Linked DNA regions of Sus scrofa. The protein of the gene in region 1 purifies or fractionates together with the protein of each later gene. This does not show direct contact. Links are inferred from orthologs where the notes say so. Each region holds a gene or a part of one and is shown in the gene's direction. Other genes may lie near its edges. The genes, in order: CACYBP and OTUD5.

Region 1 (16,415 bases):
CCATAAAACTGATGTGGCTGTTATCCTTCGTTACACTCATCAAATAATACTTTTCTTACAAAAAAAAATTTTTTTTGTCCTCCACATCTTTTATCATAGTTTTCATTTCCTTTCACCCAAAAGGAAAGTAACTCAGCATTCTGAGTATCTGTGTTGACTTTAACATTCCCTACATGATGGTTTAGAAAAGGTAATTTTTTCTCTTTTTTTCTTTTTTTGTAAAATATAATGGCTAGAAAATTGCATCTTGGTACTTGTTTCTGTAAATCATTTAGTATAATTTGTTAGCTTTACTGGTACTTCATGCTTTAGATCCCAAGAAGCCTTGTACACGTTGCCTTATCAAATGGCTAGCTAAATTAAAGCTCTTCTTTTGTGTTTTGTGACTCTCATAAATCTAACTGTACAGAGCTCTTATACCATTTCACAGAATGCCTAAATTGAATAATTTTCCTTAAATGGCAGTTGAGAGAGAAATAGCTGTACGTCCTTACCTGTAGTTATTACCTGTAGACATGGCTCAATTTCATAGCCCCTTATATTTTTTTCTTTAAACAAAATCAGTAGGTACATACATTCCAAACATTTAATAAATTCATCTTTTGCATTTTTAAAAACTCTTTTAAAAGATTATAATGACCATCTATAGATTTTTTTTTTGTACCCTTCTCCAGTTCCGAATCATACTTGGGTATGCGTATTGGTACCATAGACTAAACTGGCCCTCCCTGCAATGCCTTTGGGTGAGTAGCAACTGCAAATACAGAAAAAAAGAAAATTGAAAAGTTGGTAAATTATTCATATAATGTTATAATAGCACTGTCTCAAACCACATGTCCTTTACCATGTATTGATTGAAAACTCATGCATCCCAGCATTAAGTAACTGCTAATTTTAATTTCTCTTATTTTGAGTATATTTGAAAATTACTACTCCTCTCTTGATTTCTTTTAGAAAGGGATTGACCAGCCCAAATATCCAGGAAATTTCCAAATATTCTAGAGTGTTTTTCATCTTTCCCTAGTATAAAACAGCCAACATTTGCAGCATTCTGAAAAGTGATTTTTTTTTTCATTAAATTCTGCAGAATCAATTAAGGGAATGAAATTCAATTTGACAATTCAGTCATTAGCTTTTATATCTTAAGAATCATAACACATTCCTTAAAGCTGAAAGAAACCAAGCTGAATTTTGCAGTGCATTGTTTGCTAGCTTCCTACATCCTGAGCCATGGCACAATTTAGTTATATTTAGTTACATATGATTTAATGCAAAAGAATTTTCAGTTACCTATAATGTTTTATATATGAGTGCCTATCAGAAACACTAATAGGAATGTGACATAGGCCTATGGCCTGTTTTTCCATGCAACCAGTAACACTCTTCCCCTCTCCCTGCTATTAAGTTAGTAGTTTATTCTTCATTGGCTTTCTTAAATTTCCATAATAAAGTAGGAAAGTAATCTTTGTACTAATGTTGGGATATTTAATAGTATTTATCTTGTTTCCATTGTTTTCAAAAATTTTATTTCTCTTATGCTATGTATTAATATTTATTTTTCTCAAACCTTTACTCCATTTTCTTAAAATATTTTCCAGCTAATAACTAGTGGTTAATTTCCTAGCTAAACTGAGAAAAACGAGAGGATACATAGTTTAGGGCACAAGAGGTGAGAGTTAGATCCTTTAAGTTGATTAGTTGCAAATCATTCTGCTAAGTTAGTTGTCTGATTTCAGGATCCTTTTAGAGAGAAAGGAGCCTTTAAAAAATCAAATACTTTGTTTTAGCTCTCTTGAAAAGAACACTTTTATTTACTAAGATGATTCCGTTGTATAACTTACTCTTTACAAAAAAACACTCTAAAGTAGCTCTGATTCTCTTGCTTCAGTTACAAGTAGATGAGAGCGTGGACAAACTCTGTTGTTTGATTTGAATGTTGTGAGGGGTGTGTGTGTGTGTGTGTGTGTGTGTGTGTGTGTGAAAGAGAGATTGGTAGAATTTTATATGGAGGAGTTGTGTGTGTGTGTGTGTGTGTGTGTGTGAAAGAGAGATTGGTAGAATTTTATATGGAGTATCCCTGCCTCTTTTGAATACCCAGGTACCATGCAACTGAACATGCACATGGTGATCAGATACAGAAGGCCAGACACAGCTCAGTGCCCTGTTTTCCTACCAGACGTAACTTGTTCCCTCCAGTTGCCATGCTGGTAACATTGAACTGGAACTGCTCCACAACATACTTCCTCTCTTAGAGTGGCTTCCATACAATACAGGCAAAGCCCTGAGGCATTTTCCTACCTTTCAAAAGCTATCAAAACAAATACTTCAGTATGGGCTGCACCTCAGTGGGAGATGATCTTGAGTTGTAAGGAGAAAAGTGGATGTTTACAAGTAGCCTAGTGACTACAGCCAGCTGTCAGATGTTCCCTACTAAGCTTCCATCTAAAAGACTACATGTTAAGTTTATCTTCAAATGAATTTGCTACCTGCTATAAAAACATCTTCACCAACACGTCCCACTCTCCCCACCCCCACCCCGGTTTATCATTTGTGGTATTCTGAAAACTTTAAAAGAATCATTGAGTAGAAAATTAATATTTTAAGTTTCTTTCCCTTTTCATTGGCAATAAATTAACATGTAAAATCTGTTAATAACTACATATTATATATGGACTAAAATATAGGAAACTGATTGATAAGGACATAAATACATCAAGACTCTGGTGTCATGAAAGCACAAGAATAAAGCCTGGAAATGGTCCCAGAATCCAAGATTCCAATAACCTTTGCATCAGTTTCACTATTTTTGGTATTTTGCATAATATATGGATCCTTAATTCAAATAAAGAAAAAAAGTTTCTCAGTCCCACTTTATTTATTTCAATTCCTACCTTTCCCCTTGCTGGGGAGGTAGTAGAAATTCTATGCCATCTATTTTTGTGAATTCTATGATTTTGTCCATGGCTTCTCCAATGAAAACAGGTTCCAGAATAAAGGAGTTGATTAGACCAAACTGTGCTAATTGACTACAAAAGAAATTAGTGAGCAGCTTTTCTCCTCTCTAAACACTGACCAATTAGATGTTTCCATAATTCCATGTATTATGTATAGTACACTCTATAAATGTAAATGTAATGCTTGTTAAGAAAAGTGCAATTTATTGTACATTGTCCCAACAAATGTTTACTTTTATAATTGTTATGAACTTGAATTGGATTAGTATCTTGTTTTCACGTGTGAATGAAGCCTTGTGAAGTAAACAAATGCAAGAAGGTAGCAAGGTGACTGTTTTTGTGAGCCAGTGATGTTTTCAATGCTTTGTGTTGCCCCTTTGGCCCCATTAAGCAGTAATAAACATTTGTTCTGGAAACCATACATGTCTTTTTTACTTTCTTTAGTTGATTTTATTCTGAATCATCTGAACCCGGTTTTTATGTAAAACTTATCTGACACTAGACTCTACACAAGCAAGAAGAAATACACAGGAATTTGTTCCAGGTTATACCTACCCTACAAAACGATATCCTGTACAGCACAGCCAAGTGCCCTGTATTCCTCTCTGTAGAGATTCTTTGGTTGCAAGTTAACAGAAACTCTCTCCAGCTAGCTTACTAATAATGCAATTAAATAAGAAGAAAAAAGTATATTTAATTCATAGCTACCAAAAGCTAAATTGTTGGGCCTGAGGCAGCAATGGGGAGAGAGAACTGGTATTCTATCAGGAACCTAAGCAACTGTTCTCATAATCACTCTTCTGCTTGTTTTGCCAGGTGATGCTTATCTGCTCCTGCCTCTTTGAAAAGAGGCATCTGCTTCTAAATGCACAGCTTCCAAGTTTACATGTCTTCAAGTGACCAGCAGAGATGGACTAGCATCTCAGCATCCCAATTCCAAAATCTTGCAAAAATATGCTTGGCTAGTCCTGGATTGGGTGGCTACTGCTAGCCTTTGAGAGTCACAGTGGGTGTCATTATATAATCCAACAGTGCTCCAGAGGCTCTCCTGGAGTGAAGGCAGGGTGCCTAGAATCCTGATTTGTGTTTTTTTCTAACTTGCTTTTCATTCAGGGTGTACATGGAACTGAATGAAAGTCAGATTGCAGATCTCCTCTTACAATTCAGTATTTTAAAAAAAATACTAATCAGAGATTGTAAAATTAGTTTGTGGCCCAAACCCAGACTACAGACATCTTTTGTTTGGTCCATGTTGTAGTTAAAACAATGAGAAATTTTACATCAAAAGTAAATTATTCAGAAAATATCTACTGAATTTGACAGGAGGTCATGAGTAGTCTTGACATAATAGTAAGTGGAACTCACTGTTCACTACTGATTAAAGGTCCTACACTTAGTGAAGTTACTTGTTAACTTGTAGATTTTTGTTCAGTAGTGTGCAAATCCCTATTTTCCTTCCAGAGGAACACATAACTCCAAAGGCCATATGTAGTTTACTACACCATAGGACATTAACCAGCTTATGTCTAACTTTGAAAATGTACACTAACATTCCATTGTTAAATTGCCCATAAGTACTCAGCTATGCAAATGCACTTTTTGATAGTTTTAACAACTTATTGATTCTATCATTAACCAATGAGTTGTATGAAATAGCAAAGCTCATTTTATATTTGCCTGAGAATCTTGATTTCACCTTTTTGAAATTACACTTTAACAAAACTTTTGATTACTGTCAAAAGGGCACTCAAAGCACAATCTTTTAATAATTCACTTACAAGGAAGTTCAGGCTGCAGAAAGATGAACTCACCAAACAGAAATTACAATATTTATAGGAAAAAACTATACAATTTCCAAGTATAGACTCTGTAAGTAGTTTGTTCCTGCTGAGAAACAGTAATTCTCACTATTATCCATACTTTTATTAGACATTAGCATTGCAAAAGTCAGAGATAAAGTGTGTTTGATTTTTAAGGAGTCTAATTTTATAGGAAAAGCTCAGGTTCAGAGTTTCATTGGGGAACTAGAACTAGACACAATGAACTGATGTGTATGTTGATGATGTTGGTTTTTGTTTGTTTTTGTTGTTTTTTTATCTATCTCAGGATACAAAGTTTTTGTTTTTGCTTTGAGATCCCATGTACCCAATTACTCGTAATGGCAGCAGAGCAAGGAGTCAGTTTTGCTTCTACATGATAGATGTATGGACAATTATAGTATACATCTGGAGAGAAGCAGAATTTTGTTTTGTTGACTCCTAAGAATGGGAATTCTGAGGTGTTTTAAATGCGGGCAGAAAGGGAAGACAGACAAAGCCAAGTGACGATCTGGTGGGAAACCATTCCAGAGAGAAAGCAAAGTTTACATGCAGAACCAGAGGTAAGAAGAAACTCAGTGGATTCAAGGAATGACAAAAATACCAGTGTTTAAACCAGGGAGAGGGGAGAGTGGTGAGAGATGAATTCCATGAGATGGGAAATTTATAAAAGGTGAGATATAAAATCATGTAGAACATCCTGGGTTATAGTGAGGAGTCTGGACTTTATTCTATACAATTGTGAAGGTTATTCTGGCTGCCCTGTGGAAAACTGTGGAGAAGGAGAGAAACCAGTTAAGAGGATAAAAATCCAGACAAAATAATGACACCTTAGTCTCAGTTGGTAGCAGTGGAGATTATGAGAAGTAGTTTTATTACCAACATACTTTGAAGATAAAACCAAGACTTGCCAGAAGATGGGATGTAGGACCTGAAACTGAAGACTCAAGTATGACTTCTTGGCCTGAGCAATTAAGAGAATGAGGTGGCCATTCACAGAGCTAGCAAATCATTGTAAGAATTGCAATGAGGTGTGAGGACGAGAAATTGAGAGGCGTTTTTTTACACAAGCTGAGTTGGACCTGCTTATGAGACATCCACGCAGAGACCGTCTGGATTTCCGAAGAGTGGTGGGAATGAACATATAGGTGGTGTTTAAAACTTGTGACTTTAGGATATCTGAGGGGTGGAGTTGCTCCAGGTGCATAATCAAGCAAATTTTTACCACTGCATTAGGTCAAATTTTCACATAGTGCAATGGGATATCTGTTCCTATTTAAGTGCCTAAATAATTCCAAGCTTCCAGTTAGACACTTTTTAAAAAAAACCTGAAGTATAAATAAAATGCACAGATCTTTGGAGTTCAGTCCTACGAATCTTGACGATTGTTATCGGTATTACATTTCTACCAGGAAAATTACCTCTTGGGCCTACTTAAATATAACTTTTAGTTAAAAATAACATACACAAGAAACTGCACAGAAGGACGCTCAATGAAATTTCTACACAGTGAACACATCTGTAACCAGGGCTCAAATCAAGAAAAAAAAATTAGCCGAATCTCAAAAGCCCCCTCGTGGCTTCTTTCTGTCACTGTCTTCCCAAACACAACCTGATTTTCAGTCTCACAGCTTTAGATTTTGTTTAAATGGAATCAAACGATATGAACTTCTCTAGTTCTAGCATCTTTTCCTTAACGTCCATAAGTTGTGTGCAAAAGTAATTTGTTTTTGTATTGTACTTCTGATTCTTTATTGAGATAATGGCCCTGCATTTTTCTGTACTTTTTTCCTTCTGTGACTTGCGGATCATCTTTACCTTGGGGTTGATAAAGCCGAGTGTGGGTTATTTGACATCTCAGGGGTAACCGTCTACATTCTCAACCGTGTTTCAGACGTTTTGAGGTCCCCAAAGGCTAAAATAATCTATCTGAAAAGTGAGTTTTTCAAGGGCCTTACTAAGCCGGGCTGCAGGAGTCAGAACCGGAGCAGAATGCAGCCTCAGGAAATCTTAGCTCACATTTTCTTTGACATTAATAGGCTCACTGAAATCGAATCCAAATCTGGTGACTGGTCGATGAAGGAAGCAAACTCAGCCACCCCGGGAGGCGCCCAGCATATTAGGAAGCTTACTCCGCTTCGGAGCCGCCACTGGGTCCCGCCACACGGCCAACGCAACCCCACCTCCTACTGCGACCGGTGATGACGCCACCACGTCGTATACGCTGAATCCTGACGTCCCCAGAGCGCCAGAACCCAGTGAAAACACAACCGTTCCCCTCAGGATCCTGCGCACTTAATGTCCTCGTTTTTTCCCGTTTTAGCACACGTAGGCTCGCCTTTATCCCTTTTTTCGTCCTTTACTCGCATACGTTCACAGTCTTAGACAAGATGGCCGACGAAGTGGCCCCGGGTCCTAGAGCGCACCGAACCACTCGACTGCCTAGTCAACTTCCGGTTTAGGCCCCGAAGATTGGTGCGTTATTTCCGGGGTGGTTTAAGGTAAGCAGAAGCGGCGGTTTCGAGCTGCGACTGCGCAGTCGGCGCGATGGGGGTCAAAGTAAATTACGTACAGTTGCCCAGGCGGGAAGGAAGAGGCGTTACTCTTCTCGAACTGCCGGTTTGATCGCGAGAGTTGAGCCGTTGCTACGGGGCGAGGTGGGCGGGGCGGGGCCAGGATAGGCAGGGCGGGGCCAAGCCCTATAGGCGGTGCTGGAGCGGGGTGGGCCTTCGGCGACGGACTCGCGAAGGTTCCAGAGGCGCCGCGTGCCGGAGGCCGGCTGCTCTCCCGTTCAGAGTCGGGCGTGTTCTCAGGCCGCGGCCACGGCCACTGCGACTCGTGTCCGTGCGATCTGCGCTTGGAATCAGCGCGCTCGTTGCGGCGTTCCTGTTCTCGCCCTGTGCCGGTGGAGCTCGGGCCTTGCCTGACGCAGCTCGACCATGGCTTCAGCTTTGGAAGAGGTAAGGGGTCTGGCCTCATCTTCCTCCCTCGGCCTTACTAAAGCTTCCCGCTGCGTCCTTCGCCCCACCGCCCTGTTTCCCCTATCGAGCTGCGCTGCGGCTGCCGGCGACACCTGCCTGTCTGGCAGCTTTCCTGCGTCCTTGGGTTCCCGCGCTTCCCCGCGGCCTCCCACCCGCCCAGCTGTGGCGGCCCCGGTGCCGACCGGCCACTGCGGGCCTTCGGGGCTTCGCTTACCCCGGAAAGTTGCCGTTGGATGCCTTCCACAACCCCGGCCGGCGGTCGGCGCTGTAGGTGAGCGGAGGTGTGTTGCGGTTCTCGGCGGCAGGTGGATCCAACCGTGGACCCAAGAGCTGGTCACCTTCACGTTATCCTCAGGCTCTTTTCACTCCTTTTACACCAGCCTTTGGACGTGAAGCTTCGTTAAATTAAAGCCGATTGCAAAAACTGAGAGTCGTTCCACTGAGAGGGCAGTTGGAAGGTGAGAAGTCCTCAGTCCTAGCACTTAAATTCTCTGTCATGTTTTCTCTACACATACTTTGGGCAAGTTATGGTGCATCTCTGGGCCACAGTGGTATCCATTTCACAGGGTTGTAAACAGTGCTTGGCAAAACAATTGTTTGCTATGTGCGTTTTAAAAAATAACTATATTGGGAAATTGGTTGTAACTTTTTTTTAAAGCTCTATAAACTCAACACAGGTGGCTTAACTTTTTGGAGATTTAGTTTGTGCAATTACAAAATGGGAATAATAATACTTGCTTTGCTCTTTTTTCTGGCTTAAGTACAATGACAATACTGTTAATCACAGTTAATTGTTGGGTTTCCACTAACTAGATTTACTCCCTGGGAATCTTCTGCTTAATATGAACAAGACTGGGAAATCCTCACATTTGACTTTTTAAGTCGAAGAATTTGCTTTAAATGAAAAAGTGTGTATGTGTTTTAAGTATTATTGTGGATAATGTGCCACAAGTTTGTTATGTGTTTTAAAGATAGGTCTTTGGGTACCACGTGCCCTGAGGAAAGACTCTGAAGTGACTGTACATACACGAGTTGCTCAATATTTATCCCTTTCAAAGTAACAGGCTTTCTAATTGCAGTGTATAAGTTTAGGGACATTTGGGGGGTTTTTTTGTTTGATATAAAATTCGCTGTTTTTACCATCTTAAAGTGTATAATGCAGTGCTTTTTTTAGTATATTCACAGTGTTGTGCAACCATCAGTATATGATTCAAGAACATTTTCATCACCCCCAAAGGAAACCTATTAAGTGGCCATTAGGCGGTCACTTCCCATTACTCCTCTTCTGCCAGCAGCCACCAGTCTGCTTTCTGTCTCTGTGGATTTGCCTATTCCGAGCATTTCATCTAAATGTAATCTTAAAGCATATGACTTTTTTGGCCTCTTAGCGTTATGTTTTCAAGTTCATCCATGGTGAAGCATATACTTTTATGGCTGAATAATATTCCATTGTATGTATATACCACATTTTGATTCATAAATTGATGGACATTTGGTTGATTTTCACTTTGATTATTATGAACACTGCTGATGTGAATATTTGTGTACAGCTTTTTATGTGGGCATAGGTTTTCAAATCTGTGGTATATATGGAGGAGTGGAATTACAGAGTCATATGGTTAACCGACAAACTGCTAAGTTCTTTTCCAAAGTGCACTATTTTTCATTCCCACAAGCAGTGTATGAAGGTTCCAATTTCAGTTCATCCTCAGCAACTCTTATTTGCTGGAGTTTGTTGTTGTTTGTTGATGTTAATCATCCTGGTGGGTGTGAAGTGGTATGTCATTATGAATTTGATGTGTATTTCCTTAAATGACTAATGATGTTGAGCATCTTTTCATGTGCTTGGTGGTCATTTGTACATCTTTGGAGAAATGTCTGCTCAAGTCCTTTGCCTGTTTTGAACCACTTTGGTTTTAATGCTTCTTAGTGAAGAACTTGGAAATAAGTTAGAAGAGAAAGCTTGAATATATTTATGATAGGAATAAAAAGGAGATGTGATTTTGCATAAGGAAGATAAATGAATGCCTAGAGAAATTAGGTGACAAACTGCTGTATCTCAGGCATCTTAAAGATATTTACAGGAAAAGCACCAAAGGGATCATTATTACTCATTTCAAATTTGTAAATAACAGAGAACTAAGGAATTATCTTAAACAGGCCTGCTGTAAGTTGCTTCAGACTTAACAGTGGATATCTCATTTTTGTGGTGCTGTAGAGCCAAACTGGCTGTAAAGAGGGTCTGGGCATACATTGCTAAATTCACAGAGTTCTGAGTCTCCTAGAAAAAGGATCCATATTGTTTAGAATTTATACATTTTCTTTTTTAAAAAAAACCTAAATCCCTACTCTGGAAACAAAACATACTCATTTTACATTTTAAATGTTTTAATCATATTATTAGAATCAGCGTGACTTTTTGAAGAAATTATAACAAAAAGATTGCTTTGGGAGTTCCTTTTGTGGCTCAGTGTGCTACGAACCTGACTAGTATCCATGAAAATGCGGGTTCGATCCCTGGGTTTGCTCCCTGGGTTAAGGATCTGATGTTGCCATGAGTTGTGTTTACGTCTCAGATGAGGCTCGGATCGTGGGTTGCTGTGGCTGTGGCCGGCAGCTGCAGCTCCAATTTGACCCCGAGCTTGGGAACTTCCATATGCTGCAGGTGTGGCCCTAAAAAGCCAAAAAAAAAAAAAAAAAAAGATTGCTTTGAACTAGCAGCATCGTGGTTGTATGCTCGAAAGATGAGTTGCAGTTTTTTGCCTTAGTAATAAATGAATTTTGAGAGCCGGAGATAGAATGTGGACCAGAGACTGGGCACACAGACTTTTTAAACCATGTTTTTAGCAGTTACATACAGGCAAAACAGAGTATTGGAGTTAAATGAGATAAAAAGACTTGTGATAAAAGAGTTCATTTTTCTGTTTTTGCATTTTTTCTTTTTTCCTTTTTTTTTTTTTTTTTTGTCTTTTGTCCTTTTAGGGCCACACCTGTGGCATATGGAGGTTCCCAGGCTAGGGGTCCCATCGGAGCTGTAGCCACCTGCCTACACCTGAGTCACAGCAACGTCGGAGCTGAGCCGTGTCTGCAACCTACACCTCAGCTCACCACAACACCAGATCCTTAACCCACTCAACGAGGCAGAGATCGAACCCACAACCTCATGGTTCCTAGTCGGATTCATTTCTGCTGCGCCATGACGGGGAACTCCCCTGTTTTGCATTTTCTAATACTATTAAGAAACATAAAGACTTTAAAACTGTACTTCACATATTATACTGAGTTATCAAGCATTTAAATATTTTTATTTTGAGCATTATATGATCTCAGGCTATAATATCAAAGTCTTCTGTTCAAATTGCTAGTATCAAGACAGATTGTAAAGTCATTTTAAGAAAAAATGAATCCCCTGTTTAGAAAGATCTTACAAATTTGCATTATGTCAGAGGATAACCGAGGAAAAGTTTTTAAGCTCATTAATTTTCTAACAGTGTCTTTGACTCTTAACCTCACAAAATCTTGGCTCTGCCCCTGAAAAGAAATAGCAGTAGCCTTGGATAGGCAATGTCTTGGTGTAACAAATAAGAAGCAGGTGGCATTTCCAGTGATCCAGGATTGTGTTTTATGTTGGATTATTTGCCCAGGTTTTTACCCTTTACTGTGCAACCAAACCAGGTCCCAGACTTCTGATGGTAAAAGAAACCTGGAGCTTCAGAATCAAACTTATTAGAAGAAATATCTTTTTTTTATCTTTTGCCTTAAAAATGTAAACTTTTTATATGTATTATTTGGGATAGGAAGATCAGTGAGGACCAGTTAGTGATGGAAAGTAGAGGATAACCTGTCAAGTTGCTGTAGCATTTCACCACACTCATCATGTATTCACTTATATCTTTTAATATTTAGAAAATTCCTAATATCTGATGACGGACTGGAAGTTACAAGGAAATGCAAGAATTCCTTTTTGTTGAATTTCATCTTAACAAATCAGAAAATGTTTATAAATCACAAAAGTAAAAAAAAGAGTTAACAGTCTACCAAACTAGAAAGTTTTGGCTCGATTACCTATTGTTACTTGAAGATTAGGTTTTCCTATTTTAAAAAAAGGGAGCTTGAGTTATTTACAATTCAATAGGCTGAACGAAAAAATCCTTGTTGCTACTCAACCCTAGAAAATTTAAATGAACCTCTTATTATTAGCTCCTATTTCAGTAAATTGAAATGACCAATGTGCACAACATCATGTTGTTATTTATCATAGCTAATGTGTTTTTTTAACACAGCTACAGAAAGATCTAGAAGAGGTGAAGGTGCTTCTGGAAAAGGCTACTAGAAAAAGAGTACGTGATACCCTGACCACTGAAAAGTCCAAGATTGAGACAGAAATCAAGAACAAGATGCAGCAGAAATCACAGAGGAAAGCAGAACTTCTGGAAAATGAAAAGCCGGCGGCTGTGGTTGCTCCTATTACAACAGGATATACAGTAAAAATCAGTAATTATGGTATGACTTGCGCCCCCCCCCATCTAGTTCTTTCTGCCTCTGAGCAGCCTGTTCCTCAGTAGTGACCCACTAACAAAATCAGATTTTTTATTATCTTTGTCTTTCTTTTTTCTTTTTTTTTTTTTTTTTTTTCTTTTTTTAAGGGCTGCACATGCACATATGGAGGTTCCTAGGCTAGGGGTCAGATCAGAGCTATAGCCACTGGCCTATGCCACAGCAACTCCAGATCCAAGCTACACCACAGCTCACAGCAATGCCAGATTCTTAACCCACTGACTAAGGCCAGGGATCAAACCTGCGTCCTCATGGACGATAGTCAGATTTGTTTTCCACTGAGCCACCACGGGAACTCCCCAAATCAATTTTTAAAACAGTGTATAAAGTATTTGGTTTTGGTGATTTATAAGAGAACACCTGTCAATTCTTACTTAATAGATGCTTTTTAAGAGATTAGAAGAAGGGATGAATTTCTGGAAGCTAATTAACAAGAGGGCAAGATGATTAGTACAGTGATGAGTAGCAACAGAAGGAACCTATTCTGAAATACATTAATTATACATGGAACACAGCTTTTGTTTTGGTTTTCTTCCTTTTTTGGTTTTCACTTGGCCAACTATCCACCCATATTAACTGAAGAAGGGAAACCAGTTAAATTCAAGAAACATTTTTGAGCATCTAATATGGGCCTTTATTGTACTTGGACTTGTGAGTACACAGCAGTGACCAAGACCCAATCCTGCTCATGGTGTGGTTGGAACACATACAGCTAATACCATAACAATGTCATAATACCATTTTCCCTCAACTGATTATAGACATTTTATTTTGGAAATAGTGTAACTTGGAATCTGAGTAATGGGCTCTCATAAGGAGAGGGACAGTCTTTATGCTCACAGTATGTAGCACATAGTAAGTACTTAATATTTGCTTAACTGAATAGATTTATAAAGTACTATGGGAATATAGCTGTTAAAATAATTCCCCTGGGGGGGAGGAAAAGTCAGGAAGAATTGGAAGAAACATTTGAGTTTAAAGAGTGAGTTCTGGAGGTTCCATTGTGGCTCAGTGGGTTACAAACCTAATATCCGTGAAGATGCGGGTTCAGTCCCTGGCGTCTCTTGGTGGGTTAGCTGCAGCTCTGATTCGACTCCTAGCCCAGGAACTTCCATATGCTGCAGATGTGGCCCAAAAAAGCAAAAAATAGGAAAAAAAAAAAAAATGAGTTCAGCAAATGTAAAAAAGGAAGGCAAAGGACATGAAAGGCATCATGTGTTTTGAGTATCGTCATAGCAAAAAGCAATGTGTGTTTCATGTTTCAGTGATGCACTGCAGTACTGTAGGAGATATGCTGTGCATGTCGTTAACTGTAGGAAACTAAGGTGGTAGGATTATGGAGTATTAACTAGGAACCTAGATTTGTGTTTAGGGAGAAATTTGGCAATGTGGAGGATGGATTGAATGAATGGGGAGAAACAAAATGAAGTTCTATAGAACCATTTAGGAGATCTTTTTTCATTAACACTGAATTTTTGTTCTATAGAATTAGGTGAGGAAAAGTCATATAGTACACAGTAAATACATGTATATTTTTATCATTTGCTTCTTGTGTGATGTTTGCATGTTTTCTTTGAAAGAATTCATCTAGGTTGGAGACTGAATAATTTGATAATATATACTGAAATAGCCTTTTCTGGATATGTGTAGGTTAGTCAAATTGGCAGACTTGGATGAATTGGACTCCTTTTTTTCTTCCCCCTTTCTTTTTAGGGCGGCACCACAGCATATGGAGGTTCCCAGGCTAGGTGTCCAATCAGAGCTGTAGCTGCCAACCTACACCATGGCCATAGTAATGCAGGATCCGAGCCGCATCTGCGATCTACACCACAGCTCACGGTAACACTGGATCCATAACCCATTGAGTGAGGCCAGGGATTGAACCTGCGTCCTCATGGATGCTAGTCAGACTCGCTAACCACTGAGCCACAAGGGGAACTTCCCCTGGACTCTAAAAATTTATATTCATTCTACTTTGTCAGGGAAAGGAATTGAGGAAGCTAGGATTGCATTTTTTTGATTTGCTTAGAGAAGTAAAAATGCTTATGGAATTAGACAGTATTGATATTTAGCCAGTCAGCTTGTGGAGAATTAATAATATCTGGGAATAGGACAAAATTATTTCCATAAAAAGGGGAAATGAGCTATTCTTAAGGAATATATTTAACAATCATATTCCTCATTCTAAGGAATAAAAAGAAAGAACATGGGCTTTGTGTTCAGTAAACCTGGATCTGAATCCAACTTCTAGCACTAGCTAGATGCCTAACTTTGAATAGATTACTTAACTGCTCTGACGCTCAATTTCCTCATCTAAAAAAATTTCTTGTATATTTTTTTCATGTGTCTGTTCCTAGATTTTTATCTTAGTTTTTTTTTTTTTTTTAATGAACTATAAGCATTTGCCATTCCAGAGATTGTATCAGACTTTACTCATATTTTTTCTTTTTGTTGTTACCAGGATGGGATCAGTCAGATAAGTTTGTGAAAATCTACATTACCTTAACTGGAGTTCATCAAGTCCCCACTGAGAATGTGCAGGTGCATTTCACAGAGAGGTGAGTTCTCATATAGGAAAGACAGTGTCTTATTATGGATTCTGTTCTTCTCGGTGTCTAAAATTCTGCTTAAATTTAGAATTAATTATCCTTTACACTTGCTTTAAAGGTTGAGTCTTATCATCTGGGATGGCCAAATGCATATCCTAAGACTGTGCCTTTTTTCCCCACAAGAACTGAAGAGCACCTTTCCTGAGAACCAGAAAGATAATGTGTTCACTATTGTGTCGTAGGTCATTTGATCTTTTGGTAAAGAATCTAAATGGGAAGAATTACTCCATGATTGTGAACAATCTCTTGAAACCCATCTCCGTGGAGGGCAGTTCAAAAAAAGTACGTTTACTTTTTTTTGTCATAACATTGTGAAACCTTATGCATTTACCTGGCCAATTTATAATTAGATGAACTAGAACTGATTTATCTATCCTGTTGCCTGTTTTGTAAATTTTTATATGAACATACATTCATATGTTATCTGTGGCTGCTTTTGTGCTACCAACAGATGATGTGGCCCACAGAGCCTAAAATATTAATTATCTACCTTTACAGAAAAAGTTTGCCAGCTCCTGATCTAGAATAATAGATTATAGTAAGAATATTGCATTAAAATCAGGAGGGCATTGAATAAAATGAAAATGATTAAGAATGAAACTTGAGGGTTTGGGGTTGGTTGGTTGTTTTTTTTGCTTTTTAGGGCCACACCTGTGGCATATGGAGGTTTCCAGGGTAGGGGTCTAATTAGAGCCACAGCTACAGCCATGCCAGATCTGAGCCGCATCTTCGAACTACGCCACAGCTCACGGCAATGCTGGATCCTTAACTCACTGAGCGAGGCCAGGGATCAAACCCACGTCCTCATGGATACTAGTCAGGTTTGTTACTGCTGAGCCATGATGGGAACTCCCAGTTTTATCACTTACTAGTTGTGACCTTTGGGAGCTCAGTTAATCACTGTCTACCCTGGTTTTCTCATTTGTTTTATGAAATTGAAATGATACACTAAAATGATATATATAAAAAGTGCTTCAGTTAATGGTAGTAACTATAAGTATTAATGTGTTTTTGCTACATAAAAGGAATCAAGCACTAGCCTAGTTGGATTAGTAGAAACTATAAAACTGTCTTTGAAAAAATATTATTCATAACTTAAACTAATTGAAATAATCCCTCTTTCCTAATTTAAATAAATGAAATTTAATGCATCTGGTATAAAGATGTGCCATTCTTTTTGTTTTTACAGTTATGTAGCAGCTTAAAGGCAATTAGGATATAATTTAATGATTAGCTTGTGACTCCCTGCTCCCTTCTTCGTCTGCTAATCCCATAGTTGAAGTAATATTCAGAACACTCCTAGAGTTATGTGGATCATTGTTGAAAGAGTTTTATGTTCTTGCTGTTTACTCACCTTACAAACTCCTTAACCAGTGCTCCCTTATGATTTTCTGCCCATCTCTGACCCCTTTATGTTACTCTCGCCTTAAGTCTTAAAAGTCAGCCATTCCTCTTTTTTGAGAGTCTTCCCTTGGAGCCTTTCTCCTTCATATGTCA
Region 2 (15,660 bases), on another chromosome or scaffold:
CACTGCTCTGGGGCTTTTGATCTTGAAACATGGACTGTCAATATTGGAGAAATGTATCTTAGATCAATTTTGATTATTTTGTTGTCTTTTTAGGGCTACACCGGCAGCATATGGAAGTTCCCAGGCTAGGGGTTAAAGTGGAGCTGTAGCTTCCGGTTTATGCCACAGCCATAGCAATGTGGGATCTGAGCTGCATCTGCAACCCACACCACAGCTCATGGCAATGCTGGATCCTCAACCCACTGAGAGAGACCAGCGATCGAACCCACAACCTCATGGTTCCTAGTCGGATCAGATTCATTTCTGCTGCACACCATGGGAATTACAGTGGGAATTCTTGGGTAGAGGAGCAGGCATCTCAGAGACCAGGCTATTGAGAGGACTGAGTTCTGCTGTCTCCCTGGTGGAGGGTGTGTCAGTTGGGATAGTTGGAGCCACAGGCCCGTTATGCACCACAGCTGCTTGATAGGCAGGTGAGGCCTTTTTCTTGGTTCATTTCCTTAGTGGGGCCAAGTTCCCACTGGGCCAGGAGAGATGTGGGGAACAGATCAGGTCCTGTCTCCCTCTATTGCTTTGTGTACACGTTTGTGTGGTTTGTTTTTAGATGCTCGGCAAACACCAGGCTTCCTTTTTTGTCCTTAGCGGAACTCGCTGTGGCTCTTTTAGCAGGCGGGCAGGCAGCAGCCTGGCAGGGAGGCAAGTCCCAGGTGCCTCTAAAACAAATGGTAGGGCCTGTACTTAAACTCTAGACAGTCTAGGCTCTTCTGTCTTGCTCATCCAGGTAATTCCTCAGCAAATAGTGACTACATTTTAGAGAACCCGAGGAGGGAGGATTACAGAGGTTTGAGGGACCATCCCCCAAGCAGCAGGGAAGGGAGGTTGAGGCAAGTTTGTTAGAGCTGTTGGCTCTCCCCCCCCCCACCATCCCATGGCAAAGGCTTGGAAGGAGGTGTTGGGGGCCGGGGGGCAGTCCTCAGCTCGTACAGCCTTGCATCTTACCCAGTCTTCAGTCTTTCCTGGTTGGTGTCAAGGGCATCTGCTTGGATTTATTTTTATTTTTGTTTTTTTGGTTTTGGCTATGCCTGCGACATGAAGAAGTTCCCAAGCCAGGGATTGAATCTGCACCACAGCAGTGACCCGAGCTGGATCCTTAACCCATTGAGCACAAGGGAACTCTGGCATCTACTTATTGAATACAGTGGTTCCCTGTAGTTGTGAGGGTTGTTGTTGTGTGGGTATTTGGCCCCGGAAACATCTTTGGCAGGATCTACCAGTTGTATGTGTGCACAGAGTGCATTTATTTTATTTATTTTATTTTATTTTATTTATTTATTTATTTATTTTTGTCTTTGCCTTTTCTAGGGCCGCTCCCTCGGCATATGGAGGTTCCCAGGCTAGGGGTGGAATCGGAGTCACAGCCACTGGCCTACGCCAGAGCCACAGCAATGTGGAATTCAAGCCACATCTGTGACCTACACCACAGCTCACGGCAATGCCGGATCCTCAGCCCACTGAGCAGGGCCAGGGATCGAACCCACAACCTCATGGTTCCTATCCAATTTGTTAACCACTGCGCAACGATGGGAACTCCTCTTTTTTTTTTTTTTTTTTTTAAATGGCTTCACTTGTAGCACATGGAAGTTCCTGGGCCAAGGATTGAATCTGAGCACTGCAGCAACCTATGCCAGAATTGTGGCAACACCGGAGCTTTTAACCCACTGCTCTGGGCCTAGGATCGAACCTGCGCCTCTGCAGCGACCTGAGCTGCTGCAGCCAGAATCTTAGCCCACTGCTGCTGTTTCTGTATGCTCAGAGAAAGGGTAGAAGTAGAGTGTGGCAAGGGAAAGCTCATGCTGACTTCTGTGGCCCTAGCAAGGGGTACAGCCCCTGATATCTGTAATCTCTCCCCACTATAGGCCTTTCCAGGTTTCCAACTGATTCCTGCTTGTGCTGGTGGAGAAACTGAGGCAGGCAGGGTCAGGCCTGGCCCAGGAAGTCAGGTGGCTAAGGTGATAGCTGGATTGGGGTATTGTCAATGTCACGTTAGGGCATCAGGGCTTAAAGTTACCAGTTATCCTTGAAAGCCTGGCTTCTCCTTATCCTTCCAAATGTTGATCTTGGGCCAGCTCTGGCACATTTCTGTAACTCAGTATCCCTCTTGTGTAAAGTGGGGTTTTGGGGGTGAGGATGGAATGGATTGGAAAAGGTCTTGGTGGGACCAGTGGTAGTATTGTATGGAGGATTTCTGAGCCCTACTTGGGTTAGGGACAGAGGTGAGGTGGTAGGGGACCCCCTTCCAGCTGGACTCTAGGAGGGGAGAGCAGGTGCAGATTGCCCACAAGTGCAGTGTCAGCAAGAGGAGGAGTTTCGGTTTCTATCAAAACAAGTGCTCTGAATTCCCCTGCCTCCGCAGGACCATTGGGCCCTTTCCCCCCACCTTGGCCTCCGCAGGGAAGTCCAGCTCAGCCCCTAGTCCCATGTGCCAGCCTCTCAGGAGGAAGAGAGCTTGCTGGAGGACAGAGGTGGGGCTGGCAAAGTAAGACAAGCCTCTCCTCAGGTGAGGACTTCCTGTGTGCTTAGCCCTGTCCTGGGGGTTTTTCTGGCCTTATGTCATTGTGAAGATCCTACTACTCTCCCTAGTTGTCAAGGTATTGTTGCCTTGTTTTCTTGGTTCAGAAATGCACCTTTTCTTCCACATTGATGATTCCAAAACTAGGGTACCACTTTTTTTTTTTAAGTCTTTTTAGGGCTGCACCCAAGGCATACGGAGGTTCTCAGGCTAGGGGTCTAATCAGAGCTGTAGCCGCCGGCCTACACCACAGCCGCAGCAACGCGGGATCTGAGCTTTGTCTGCGACCTACACCATAGCTGCCGGCAACACCGGGTCCTTAACCCACTGAGTGAGGCCAGGGGTCGAACCTGCAACCTCATGGATGCCAGTCAGATTGTTTCCTCTGAGCCAGGACGGGAACTCCTAGGGTACCTCTTATAACCAGTGAGGTTGGTGCCCCCTCCCAGAAGCTGTGAGTAAGTATATGTACTGTACCACCTGTCAGTGCGTCTTAGAACTGAGGAGAGAAGGTGGTATATTTTATAGGTAAGTAGAGAAGGTCACATGTACCTTGTCCACACTTGAACCTGTTTTGGGAGACCTATGTTATTGATTTGATGTTAATTTGGTGGCTCTTGGGTGTGTGTGTGTTGACATATGGAAGTTCCCCTGCTAGGGATTGAATCCAAGCTGCAGCTGTGACCTATGCCACCGCTGCGACGATGCCAGATCCTTAACCCACTGTGCTACAGCAGAACTCTGGAGCCCCACCTCCTGAACACAGTAGGCCTCAGGTGTTTAGCAGGCCCTCCCCTTTTGTCTTTAACAGCCAGTGATAGGAAGAGGAGTTACTCTCTTCCTTTATGGATGAGGACATTGTGGCCCTGAGAGGTTAAAGGCTTTGTCCAGTGCCACATAGCTAGGAAGCAGCAGAGTCTGCCCGTCAGGTGAAGGGGTCAATGACAGGGAAATGGGGGGATCCTCATGGGAAGATTCTCCTGCAAGTCCCTTCCTTGTCTCGTAGTCTCCCTGAATCTGGCATCTAGCTCGGGTAGATCTACTTGCCAGGCCGGGAAATGCCTGTTGACCCTTCCCTAGGAGCATCTCAGCCACCTCCCTGAGCCTGGTAGACCAACCCCTGTTTAACCCCTTCACGCTCATCTCAGTTCCTGTTTACTGCAGCTGCCAACAGCACTGCCTCTTCGGCACCCCCAAGTTTATTCTACAGAAATAGCTCCTCAAGCAGCTCTGCAGCCACAGCGGGTTCTGTGGTCCTGGCTTCTAAGAAAGGCAGCAGTAGGGGGCCCCCCGGCCTGTGCACAGGGCACGTGACTTGCTGGAAGTGCCACGGTTGGGGGGTGGGGGGGAGAGTGTAGCCACAGAACCCACATCCTTGTTTACATCGGTGAAGGGGCTACCCCTTCCCGCCTTTACAACCCCCACTCCCCGTCACCCTCAGGTCTCTGCACCTCCAGGAGGACGTGAGACAAGCACGGGCCCCATTTTCTATCTCAGAGTGGCCTTTTTCACCTTATCTCACCGAGCCCTCCAGGGAGGGCAGGGAAGGGCATCGAAGGCGTGCTTCTGGTGATTCTTAACGGAGGTAGACTGGCTGTCACAGAAGAGCTCTCTGTGCTGGGCGATCCCATCAGAGCCATAGGTCTCCGGGGAGACAAAGGGCAATTCCTTCTTTGTCTTAGCCGGTGGACATGAGGTGTGCCTCATCTTCAAGCCCACGTTAATTTCTCAGGGAGAAGGCTCCCCAGCTCCCCGCTAACCTACCCATGTACTCAGCAGACTGTTCTCAATTTCTTGCCCTGCATCAGGCTCTGAGCTGGGGGTGGTCCTGGATGTGACCCACCTTCTATCCTCAGTGGGAGCCTAGTGTGATCAGGCAGAAGAAGTCCGGACACACCTTTGATAAATCTGGTGATAGAGATGCCCTTGAGGACAGGGAACTGTTTTAAGAGTATGTTGGTGTTTGACAGGTAGGCAGCCAAAGAGGATGGAAAGAACCTCTTGAAAAGAGGGAACGATATATATGCGGACATCATCATCAAGCAAGGCAGAGGGGATCCTAGTTCCTTCTTCCCTTTTTTTTTTTTTCCTTTTTGTGGCTGTGCCCACAGCATACCAAGTTCCCTGGCCAAGGATTGAACCCAGGCCATGGCCAAGCCGCTGCAGTGACAACACCAGATCCTTAACCTGCTGAGTCACAGGAGAACCCCTGCCCTTCCTGAATTAAGCTTAAGTGAGGTGTATATGTTGTGTCTTAGTGTTCTTGTAAACTACATGCTGCTTGTGGATAGGGGTGGGATTTTGCTCGCCTCTGTCACCTTCACAGTACCCCACTTCAGGAAAGGGAGCTCCGAGTGACTGCTCTGTTCCAAACCCAGTGTTAGTCACGTCACACCTGTTATCTCATTAATCCCACAAGAGGCCTTCTGGGAAGTTCCCCAGCTTGATCCCATTTTACACGTGAGGCCTATGAAGCTCAGAACACTTGGGTCACTTGCCTTGGGTCCTTTTGCTCACCTGTACCTAGCAGAACTGGGCTTAGAGCCCAGTTTTTCTTCCTTTTTTTTTCTTTTCCCTTTCCTTTGCATTTTTTTTTTCTCTTTTTGCTATTTCTTGGGCCGCTCCCTCGGCATATGGAGGTTCCCAGGCTAGGGGTGGAATCGGAGTCACAGCCACTGGCCTACGCCAGAGCCACAGCAACGCGGGATCCGAGCCGTGTCTGCAACCTACACCACAGCTCACAGCAACGCCAGATCGTTAACCCACTGAGCAAGGGCAGGGACCGAACCCGCAACCTCATGGTTCCTAGTCGGATTCGTTAACCACTGCGCCACGACGGGAACTCCTGCATTTTTTTTTTAAACTTCATAAAGGCCATGCTGACTCCTGAGAGTCAGGAAAACTGAATTCTAGAGGTGAATTTGTCCCAAACTGCCTTCTCTGTGACCTTCAAGCTGCAAACTCCCTGAGCCTCAGTTTCCTCATGGGAAGAGTGAGGAGGGACGTGTACGTGTGGAATTGATGGTGCTTAAGGCCACTTACAGGATTTAAAATATTTGCTGACAAAATCATCTGCCCAAAAGGCCTGTGGTTGTGTCCCTCTCACCCGTAAGCTTACTCTTAAAGACTGTACCTGCCTGCCTGCCTCTTTTTTCATGACCCTATTCTAGCCCATGAGGCCAAGAATTCTCCATGCCTTAGGGTAGGAAAGGGAGCTTCCCTGGCCCCCAGCCCTCCTTTGAGGTCTGCCACTCAAACTGTTCTTGGGTGGCCACGCTGACCCCAGCCTCTCCTTTTGTCCCCACAGCTGACCAAGTGTATGGAGACCAGGACATGCATGAGGTTGTGCGAAAGCACTGCATGGACTATCTGGTGAGACCTTGCAGGCCTTGGGGCGGGTACAAAGCGGCTGGATCCCTTCTGCACATAGACCTTGACCCTCTGATTTATCCTGCAGATGAAGAATGCCGACTATTTCTCCAACTATGTCACAGAAGACTTCACCACCTACATCAACCGGAAGCGGAAAAACAACTGCCATGGCAACCACATTGAGATGCAGGCCATGGCAGAGATGTACAACCGGCCCGTGGAGGTGTATCAGTACAGCACAGGTACTTCTGTGGTGGGTAGGCGAGCGACTGGTCACGCCTGGTCTGAGCCTGCCCCACCCAGCCCACTGTGGATGCTCCCTCCTTCTCTTTCTTTGCAGAACCCATCAACACATTCCATGGGATCCATCAAAATGAGGATGAACCCATCCGTGTCAGCTACCATCGGAATATCCACTACAATTCAGTGGTGAATCCTAACAAGGCCACCATTGGTGTGGGGCTGGGCCTGCCATCATTCAAACCGGGGGTAAGCAGGTGTCTGTGCCCAGAATGGATGCTGGATATGGAGGCCAGAAACCTCTGTCAGGGTCACTGTTTTGCTCCTAGCCCACAATTTTAAATGTCCTATTCCCTCTCTGAGTCGTTCCAAAGGTTTTGCCTCTATAAAATTAGAGTGTTACCCAAGGTGATCTCTCAGGGCTCCATTCTCTGGTCTCAGTTTGCCTGTCTGAGCGGACTCACTCATCTTTTACCTGTTGAGGATTGGTATTGTGGAATGGGGGGGGTCATACTTGGGAAGTGTGAGCCAAGGCTTGATTGGGTGTCTTGGCACCCACATGGATCCTCCTCTGAACCTCAGCAGGTACAGACAGCTGTGGTCCCAGAGACTTGGAGTGTAGGACGGGCCCCACCACTTACTGGCTGTGGGACCTAGGGCAGAATGTATGAGTAATCTGGCTGGCAGCTTGGCCAATGCAGAAAGTGTCTAATGCTGGGTCTGGTGCCTAGTAGGTGCTCAGAAGGTGGCAGTGCATTTTCCTAGCACACACTGACAGATTCTCATTCTCTGTCTCATAAACAGTTGTTTGCTGGGGATTTTGATACCTTCTGTGCACGTTTCACTTCCTACAAACGGAAAGTGCTCCTGCCTCATAAAATGAGGCACCATTTAGGGAAACAACACCCTAAACACCACCAACATAGAGGTTTTATGATTTTTTTTTTTTGGGTAAACTTTTAATCTCAACACTTTGAGATTTATGTAATTACTGCGATTGGAGCATTCCCACATACCCCACTGTGATTAATGTATGTTTGTCACAGCTAATGAACCAATATTGCTGTATTAACTAAAGACCATACTTTATTCACAGTACCTCAGTTTTCCCCCTAATGATCTTACCTGTTCCAGGATCCTATCCAGGATACCATGTTACATTTAGTGATCACGTCGTCTTTGGCTCCTCTTGGCTGGGACCGTTTCTGTAAATTTCCTTGGTTTTGATCTGTTTACAGACTCTAGAGTTTTACCTTTTCTAGAAGGTCATACAATTGGTATCGCACAGTATGTATTTTTTTCAGTGGTTTCTTTGAAGTAACGCTGTATGTTTTAAGATTCATCCATGCCTTTTTGTGGTTTGGTCACTTGTGAAAAATGTGAATGCCCTACGTCTTTTTTAATAGACTTAATTGTTTAGAATAGTTTTAGATTTACAGAAAAATTGAGAAGATAGTGCAGAGGTCCCATGTACCCTCCTCCTCCTTGCACACAGTTTTGCTATTATTTAATTTATCAGATGACTGGTGCATTTGTTACAGTTAGGTGGACCAGTAGTGATACATTATTATTAACTGAAGTCATCATGTCTCCTTGGGCTCCCCTGTCTGTGATGGTTTCTCACTCTTTCTTTATTTTTGGTGGCCCCGACAGTTTGGAGGAGTACTGGTCTAGGTATATTGTAGGATGTTTCTCTTTGGGAATTTGATGTTTTTCTCAGGAGGAGACTGGGTTTATGGCTTTGGGGCGGACGGTCACGGTGGTGAATGAAGCGCTATGCTCATTCCCATCGCATCAACAGTATGTACTGTGACTGTGATTTATAACTGTTGATGTTGACCTTGATCACCTGACAGAAAGTAGTGTCTGTCAAGTTTTCGCCACTGTACAATTACTCTCCCCCCCCACCCCCCTTTTCCATGTGGTAGGAAGGAAGTCATTATGTCCAGCCCACACTTAATACTTGGGGGTTATGCTCCATCTCCTTGAGGACGGAATATCTACGTAAATTATTTGGACCTTGTCTGCAAGGGAGATTTGCCTCTTAGCCTCCATTTATTAATTTATTCAGTCATTTATATTAACATGGGCTGATGGGTGTTTGTTTTATACCTTTTACACTTTGGGTTACAATCCAATTCTCTTTTCATTTGGTGCTCAACATTATTCCAGTTTTGGCTATTGGGAACTCTTTTGGTTGGTTCCTGCATCTCTGACATACTCCATCATTGTGGCGGTGTTTTGGGGGAGTGTTTCTTGGGTTTTTTTGTTTGGTTTTTGTCATGAATACTTAATTTTTGGTACTGGAAGGTGTTCCAGGTACATCTTGTATATTTCCTGCCCCAGTCCTAGAACTAGCCATTTCTCCAAGGAGCCCTATTCCTTTGTTGGAGAATGCTATTAGAAATCAAGATCTGGGTGCTGAGTGTGCTCCTTGCTACTGGGGTATCCTTGCTTCTAGGCCCTTTCAGCTGACAGCAAGGAGGTATATGTGTGTATACTAACTTGTGTGTTAATATACATACCTAGAAATATTTCTGTATGTGACCATCTGTATCTACATGAAGCTTCCGTTCTTACCGTCTTCAACTAATAGGTAGCTCATCTTTTTTTTTTAGGGCTGCTCCCATGGCGTAAGGAGGTTCCCAGGCTAGGGGTCGAATCAGAGCTATAGCCACTGGCCTACACCACGGCCACAGCAACGCCAGATCCGAGCCACGTCTGCAACCCACACCACAGCTCATGGCAATGCCAGATTGTTAACCCGCTGAGCGAGGCCAGGTATCGAACCCACAACCTCATGATTCCTAGTTGGATTCAGTTCCGCTGTGCCACGACGGGAACTCCACCTCACCATTTTAGTTTGCAATTCCTAATGACAAGTGGTGTTGAGCATCTTTCCACGTGCTTATTTGCCAGCTGTGTATCTTTTTAAAAATTTTTCTTGGTCTTTTTAGGGCTGCACGTGCGGCGCAAAGAAGTTCTCAGGCTGGGGGTCGAATCAGAGCGGTAGCTGCTGGCCTACACCACAGCCACAGCAACAGTAGAACCAAGCCACATCTGAGACCTATGCCACAGCTCATGGCAATGCCAGATCCTTAACCCACTGAGCGAGGCCAGGGATCGAACCTGCATCCTCATGGATACTAATCAGATTCGTTTCCTCTGAGCCATGATGGGAACTTCCTGTATATCTTTTTTGATGAAGTTGTGTGTTTTGCCCATTTTTTAATTGGCTTATTCTAACAGTTTTACGTACTTTTTTGGACTGTTATCCACGGGTAAAAAAATTACATCTTACATCTTTAATTAGTGCACACACACATTGGTGTGTATATATGCATTCAAATATGTTTCACTGAACACTGTGAACCAGCTATGATGGAAAAAAATAAAAATCATTATATAAAAAAATTTAAAAAGTTTCACTGAATGATACTTACATTTATTCCCTGTGATACACACTGATACTGTTCATTATTTCATTTTTAAAAAAACCCTATTTTGTCTCACAGCCTGACAAAGGGCATTCTCGTACAGTGTCGCACAACTCATAGCACCCCCACACCATGCTGACACGGTCCTCTTGTCCACTTAAGTGCCCCAATACTCCCTCCACCCTGTGCATGTGCTGCTAACTTCTCAGGTGATCTTTTCTCCTTGGTCCCATCCGGGTATAGGTGAGGAAGGCCTCAGCAAGTGAGTCGTCGCTGGGTGAGACTTCTTTTAATTTTGTCCTTGGCTGGAGGGCACCTGACTGCCCCAGACTTAGTCCTTCAGTTGAGGTGTCTTCTCGGGGTTAGGACCAGGGCTTCTAAGTGTAGGCGTGTGGAATGACAAGTCCCACATCCCAAGCCTGCCTTCCCCCAGTCCTTGATCAATAGGCAGCCTTCCCAGGGGGGTGCTTAGTAAGAATACCTACTTTCTTGTCGCCAATCTTCCGGGCCTGTGGGCCCACCTCCCTTAGCCAGGCCTGGCTCTTGGCTGGCGTTCTGAGTGTCATTGCACATCCCTGTTCCTCCCCTCCTTGCAGTTTGCAGAGCAGTCCCTGATGAAGAATGCCATAAAGACGTCGGAGGAGTCCTGGATTGAACAGCAGATGCTGGAAGACAAGAAGCGGGCCACAGACTGGGAGGCCACAAACGAGGCCATTGAGGAGCAGGTGGCTCGGGAGTCCTACCTGCAGTGGCTACGGGATCAAGAGAAACAGGCCCGCCAAGTCCGTGGCCCCAGCCAGGTCGGTCCTGGGCTGTGTGACTGACTGGTCCAGCCAAGGAACGTGTTCACTTCCTATGTTTTTCCCCCAACCAGGCAGAAAAAAATTAGGTAGTTTTGACATCTAGGAAAGAAGGAAGCTCCCAGCCCTATCCGTACCTCACCTTGGTCTTGGTCTTGGTGTTGCGCCTTAGAGCTCTCAGCACTTGTGCAGAGCAAGCTCTTTAAAGGAGGGAGGGGAGGGCAGCCACTGGTCACAACATGCAGGCCTCGTAGGTAGTTTTAGAGGGTCAAGCTTTCGCTAAATGTTACTGTGTCCAGGCTCTGTGCCAAGGATGTAAAATCAGTCCTGCCCACTCCACCCTCAGCAATCTCCTCTGCAGAAGGAGACAGCGTGCATCAGTGGGGCCCCTGACCCTGGCTGGGAGGCCAGTGAAGGTGGCGGGCTCTGGTTGTCGTCCCACAGAAAGGTTGAATTTTTGAGGCAGGAAGTGAAGCCGGGCATATGGACAGTTGAGGCATCACAAGTTGAGAGTGACTAGATGTTGGCAAGAGCTGAGTAATTCGTTGAACAAATACTTATTGCAGGGTCGTGCCAGGCATTGTTCTCTGTGTACAGGGGTACATCGGTGAGGCAGGCCGTCGCAGCTCCCTGTCCTTGGGGGTGCTTACATTTATGAAGGGTGGAACAAAATGATAAACATAATGAATACATGAGTTGCAAGGTATTATGGATGAAAGACATAGAGCCTGGTTGGGAAGGGGGAGGAGTAGGGCTGAGTGGAGCAGGGAGTTCACAGTATTCAATAGCATGTCACGGCCTCGGAGCAAGTGAGATTTGAGCAAAAGTTGCCGAGGTGAGGGGATTAGGTCCTATGTCAGGGAAGGCAGAGGGCCAGCGGAAGCAAAGGCCCTGAGGTAAGTGCACACGTGGTGTGAGTCAGAAGCAGCCCGGAGACCATTGTGGCTGGACAGGATGTAGTAGTAGGTGGAGCCGGGAAGGTGGCGGGCCAGATCGGAAGGGGCTTGTGGGCTCTGGTGAGGACTCTGGCTTTTATTCGGAATGTGGCAGAAGCCATGAGAGGGTTGTGAGCAGAGGAAGAATGGGATCTGACTTAGGATCCCTCTTACCACTGAGTGCAGGGTGGAGTCTAGGGCCAAGGTTGGAAGCCCGGGACCAGCAAGGAGAAGACTCTTTACAGTAGTGCTGGGGGCTGCTGAAGGGGCTGGATTCTGGATCTGTTTCGAAGGTGGCAGTAACAGGTTTCCTGTCAGATTGGCTGTTAAGGGTGTGAGGTTGGGGGGCGCTGAAAGAGTTTTACCTTCATCCCATGGTCCATTTTTGTGACCAGGTTTAGTGAGGGTGGCCTATGTGGAAGCTGTGTCATAGCCAGGATTCTGGGAGGGAGCAAGCCTTTTGGGGATGGAGCAGAGGAGGGTCGTGACTGTGTCCTTACTTCTTCTTCCATCCCCACCGTAGCCCCGGAAAGCCAGCGCCACATGCAGTTCTGCCACAGCAGCAGCCTCCAGTGGTCTGGAGGAGTGGACCAGCCGGTCCCCGCGGCAGCGGAGTTCAGCCTCGTCACCCGAGCACCCTGAGCTACATGCTGAGCTGGGCATCAAGCCCCCTTCCCCAGGCACTGTCTTAGCTCTTGCCAAACCTCCTTCGCCCTGTGCACCAGGTTAGTGGCTTGCTCACAGGTAGCATGCAGGGGTTAGGAGGGCCTGCCTAGGTCATGGGCCCTGCCTCTGATTGTCTGTCTGCCCCAGGTACAAGCAGCCAGTTCTCGACAGGGGCCGACCGGGCTACTTCCCCCCTCGTGTCCCTCTACCCTGCTCTGGAATGCCGGGCCCTCATTCAGCAGATGTCCCCCTCTGCCTTTGGTAAGCCTCCTCTGCCTAGGGCCCAGGGGCCAGCCGGGGAGAGAGGGAAGCAGCAGCAAGTCCTGAAAGGGGGCTCCTGGAGCCTCTGGCCATCTTCCAGGAAAGGAGAATTTTTCAGGCCCAAGGGGCTGTCCCACAGGGGACGTGAGGGGGGATTTGTAGGCCCAGAGGAGCCCTCTGCTTAGACAAAAGAGTGATGGGGGCCTGAAGGGGAGCTCTCCAGAGTCAGGAATTGGCAGAGCAAGGAGAAGGCAGGCTTCAAGCGCTCTGTCATCCTTTTTCCCTTCCTTTTGCCCAGCAGGTCTGAACGACTGGGATGATGATGAGATCCTAGCATCGGTGCTGGCAGTGTCCCAACAGGAATACCTAGACAGTATGAAGAAAAACAAAGTGCACAGAGACCCACCCCCAGACAAGAGTTGATGGAGACCCAGAGACTGGAGACCATCTCCCAACCCCCACCACTCTTGCCCTCCAGTGCCACCCCACCTTCTTTGGCTTTCTTCCCTCTTGCCTATTCCTTCTTCCCTCTCTCCCCTCCTCTCGCTCCTCCCCACTTCCCTCTGGCTGGCCCACCCCCACGCGCCCTCTCATCGCTGCCACCACCATCATCACCCGTCTCCTCGCCAGCTGATGTGCCCTGTTGCCCCCTGCACAGCACCATCCCTGCATTCCACAGGGGACTCGGGCAAGGGTGCTGAAGGTAGGCGAGAGGCACAGAGACAAACCAACTGGCAGCCAGGCAGCCCCTGAAGAGAGACATTCAGACAGAGGAAAGTCTCCCTGTCCCCCATTCCTTCCAAGATCAGAAACTTATCACCCCACCTCCACAATGATGCCAGGGAGGTGGGAGGAAGAAGTGGGAAATACCCTTCCCAGTACCCCCAAGAATGTCTGAGCCTTCAATGTTGAATTTTTTTCTTTATTAAAATGTACTTTTATCTTATAAAATCAACCAATCAAAAAGTGATGTAGACAACAGCATTGGCTCTGTGAAGGTGGCATCTCTCTGGTTTGGGGGCAGGCAGGCCACGGGGCACAAAGATGTGGTTGCTGCCCCTGGCCTCCAGCTCTGTGGAGGTGGGCAGGGTCTAGAGTGTGAGTCAGACTGAGGTAGGAGGGCAGGGGGAGCAGGTGTCAAGTGGGCTTTGGACAATGAGACTCTGACCTCGCTGCATTCCTTACGCTTCCACCTCCACCACCCGTCTTTGGAATCTCGGGGTGGGGTACCTTTGAGGATCATGGCCGCCACCCAGGATTTGAGTGTGGGGAGTGGGAGCAGCATCGGCAGATGGGGCACCCATGCCCTGCAGGTGTCAACAAGATCCGCCATCTGTAATGTCCTTGGCACAATAAAACCAAATGTCAGTTTCCCCCGAGCGCCTCTGTTCTGTGTGGGGCAGGGGGTGGGTGGGCCTCTGGTCAGAGGCAGCGATGGCACAGGCCTTGGCTTGACCTCTGAAGGGCCACATGCTCTCCAGTGGGGTCTCTCTGGGGGCCCAGAGTTCATATTTGATTCACAGTTTACTAAACCACCTTTTGGACCTGTTATCACCTGTCTTGGCCAACTGCCCAAGCCTCAGTATCGGCCCAGGCTATAGCCTGCCCAGCCCATTTCCTGGGGTGTGATGGGAGCCTCGAACTGAGAGCTCGATGGCAGGAGCCGAACTTCCAGTGTCTCTGCCTGCCTCTCACCCCAGCATGTTTGCTCTTGTGATTGTTTGATGAGGAAGTGCTTTGGACAGGCACGACGGTCACTGCATATCAACGTGAGTTTAGTGGAAGTGACCAGAGGGGACTCCCGACCCCCCACCAGGTTTTAGAAACTGGGGGACAGCTAAACCTTTTTTTCGTGTTCCCCAGTTCTCTTGACACTTTCCTTCCCTGCCCTTCCTAGAGGTAAAGCCAAGGTGAGAAGGATGGCTGGCCCTCGGGTTTTGTCAGTTGTCTTTTTGATGTCCTTCCAGAATGCCCCTGTGGAAGAATGTGTGTCCAGCTCTGCGGGTGAGGGTGTGGCTGTCCGCAGGGTGTCCCTGTGGAAGCCACTGGTCAAGCACATGTGTTGGAGAGTTGGTTTGAAACCTTATCAGCTTTTTCTGTGTGGCCTTGGTCAAATCACAGGCTCTCTGAGTTTCCAGTGTCGTGTGTGTAGGATGGGGGTGATTAATGTCTACTACCTCACACTCTGGGTGTGAGCATCGAGAGTGCATATGGTCAACATAATGTTTGGTGGCACGGTGCCTGGCACATTCTGAGAGTTCAAATGTTAGCAGGTGTTCTTATTTATTATCCTAATGTTGACGTTTCTGTACCATTTGGCCCCTGCCTACTTCATCTTGCTTCTCTGTCCAGTTTCCTTGGCCTCTGCCTGGAATTTGCCCTTCCCCTGTCCCAAGCCTCCAACCTTGTCTCTCAAGATGGGTAGAGGGGTCTCCTTCTGAGAAGCCCTGTGTGACCCCATCTACATTCTCATTTCTATCTACAAATATGTCTACTCCTTCCCCAGTAAACTGTACTATCAACTTCCTGGGCAAGGGCTGTGATGCCTGGCTTATCTGTGTATCTCTTAATTATCTGCACCCCTTCTAGGGCCTCGCAGGCTTACAGTAGACCCCTAATAAATGTTGGATGAATAAGGGAGAGTACATGTGTGTATTTGCTTTTTGGGTGTGTGTGTGTGTGTGTGTGTGTGACTGTGTGACTGTGGTGAGTCCAAGTCTATGTGCCTCTCACAGAGTGTTTCTCTGGTCGTGTGTGTGTTTGTGTGTGTGACGAGGGCTTGTTTCCAGGTGTGTCAGATGGTGACTGGGTGTGAGATTCTGTCTCTGACAGTTTGTTTCTGAGATGAGTGCATGTCTGTGTGGGTCTGTCCGTGACAGTGCACGTGTGGTTTCTGTCTGATAGGGTGCACGTCCGTTTGTATTCCTGTGACAGACTCTGGGTAGCTATTTCTGAACAGTGTCAGTGACGGCGCTGCACGTCTGCTGTATGTGTGTGTCTGTGACTGTGACTGGATCTGTCCATGTCTGTTTTTGTGACACTGCCTATCTGTTGCTCTAGCACCTAAGTATATGTCTGGCTTTGGAGCAGTGCATGTGTGTCTCTGGAGTGTTTGTGTGTGTTCCTGTGTCAGACTCTGGGTCTCTCGTTTCTGGAACAGTACAAGTCTTTTCTGTGACACTGCATGTCTGATGGTGCCAGTGTCTTCGTCACAAGTTCTGGCTGTGTGTCTGGCAGGACATATCTGTGTCCTCGTTACATGTAGGTCTATGTGAATCTCTCTGGAGTGCCTTTCTGTAACAGTGCATCTCTCGAGTGTCATTCTGGAACTTGACTCTGGCAGCATGCCTGCCTGACAGTGGATGTCTGTCTATGTGTGA

Evidence for each region.
Region 2: the proteins of CACYBP (region 1) and OTUD5 purify together in Homo sapiens (affinity purification with mass spectrometry; 4 studies listed by BioGRID and IntAct, with this or other methods). This does not show direct contact. The link is inferred for Sus scrofa from reciprocal best matches to the Homo sapiens genes CACYBP and OTUD5.

What each region holds. Positions count from the first base shown.
Region 1 is NC_010451.4:117,056,683-117,073,097, forward strand, and holds the start of CACYBP (calcyclin-binding protein), read left to right. Parts: upstream 1-7,312; 5' UTR 7,313-7,710; coding exon 7,711-7,731; intron 7,732-8,132; exon of another isoform or gene 8,133-8,210; intron 8,211-12,035; coding exon 12,036-12,255; intron 12,256-14,770; coding exon 14,771-14,867; intron 14,868-15,100; coding exon 15,101-15,200; intron 15,201-16,415. UniProt on the Homo sapiens protein: May be involved in calcium-dependent ubiquitination and subsequent proteasomal degradation of target proteins. Probably serves as a molecular bridge in ubiquitin E3 complexes. Participates in the ubiquitin-mediated degradation of beta-catenin (CTNNB1).
Region 2 is NC_010461.5:42,999,490-43,015,149, reverse strand, and holds the end of OTUD5 (OTU domain-containing protein 5), read left to right. Parts: intron 1-5,876; coding exon 5,877-5,941; intron 5,942-6,026; coding exon 6,027-6,183; intron 6,184-6,281; coding exon 6,282-6,430; intron 6,431-10,214; coding exon 10,215-10,418; intron 10,419-11,876; coding exon 11,877-12,078; intron 12,079-12,166; coding exon 12,167-12,280; intron 12,281-12,578; coding exon 12,579-12,703; 3' UTR 12,704-13,659; downstream 13,660-15,660. UniProt on the Homo sapiens protein: Deubiquitinating enzyme that functions as a negative regulator of the innate immune system. Has peptidase activity towards 'Lys-48'- and 'Lys-63'-linked polyubiquitin chains. Can also cleave 'Lys-11'-linked ubiquitin chains (in vitro).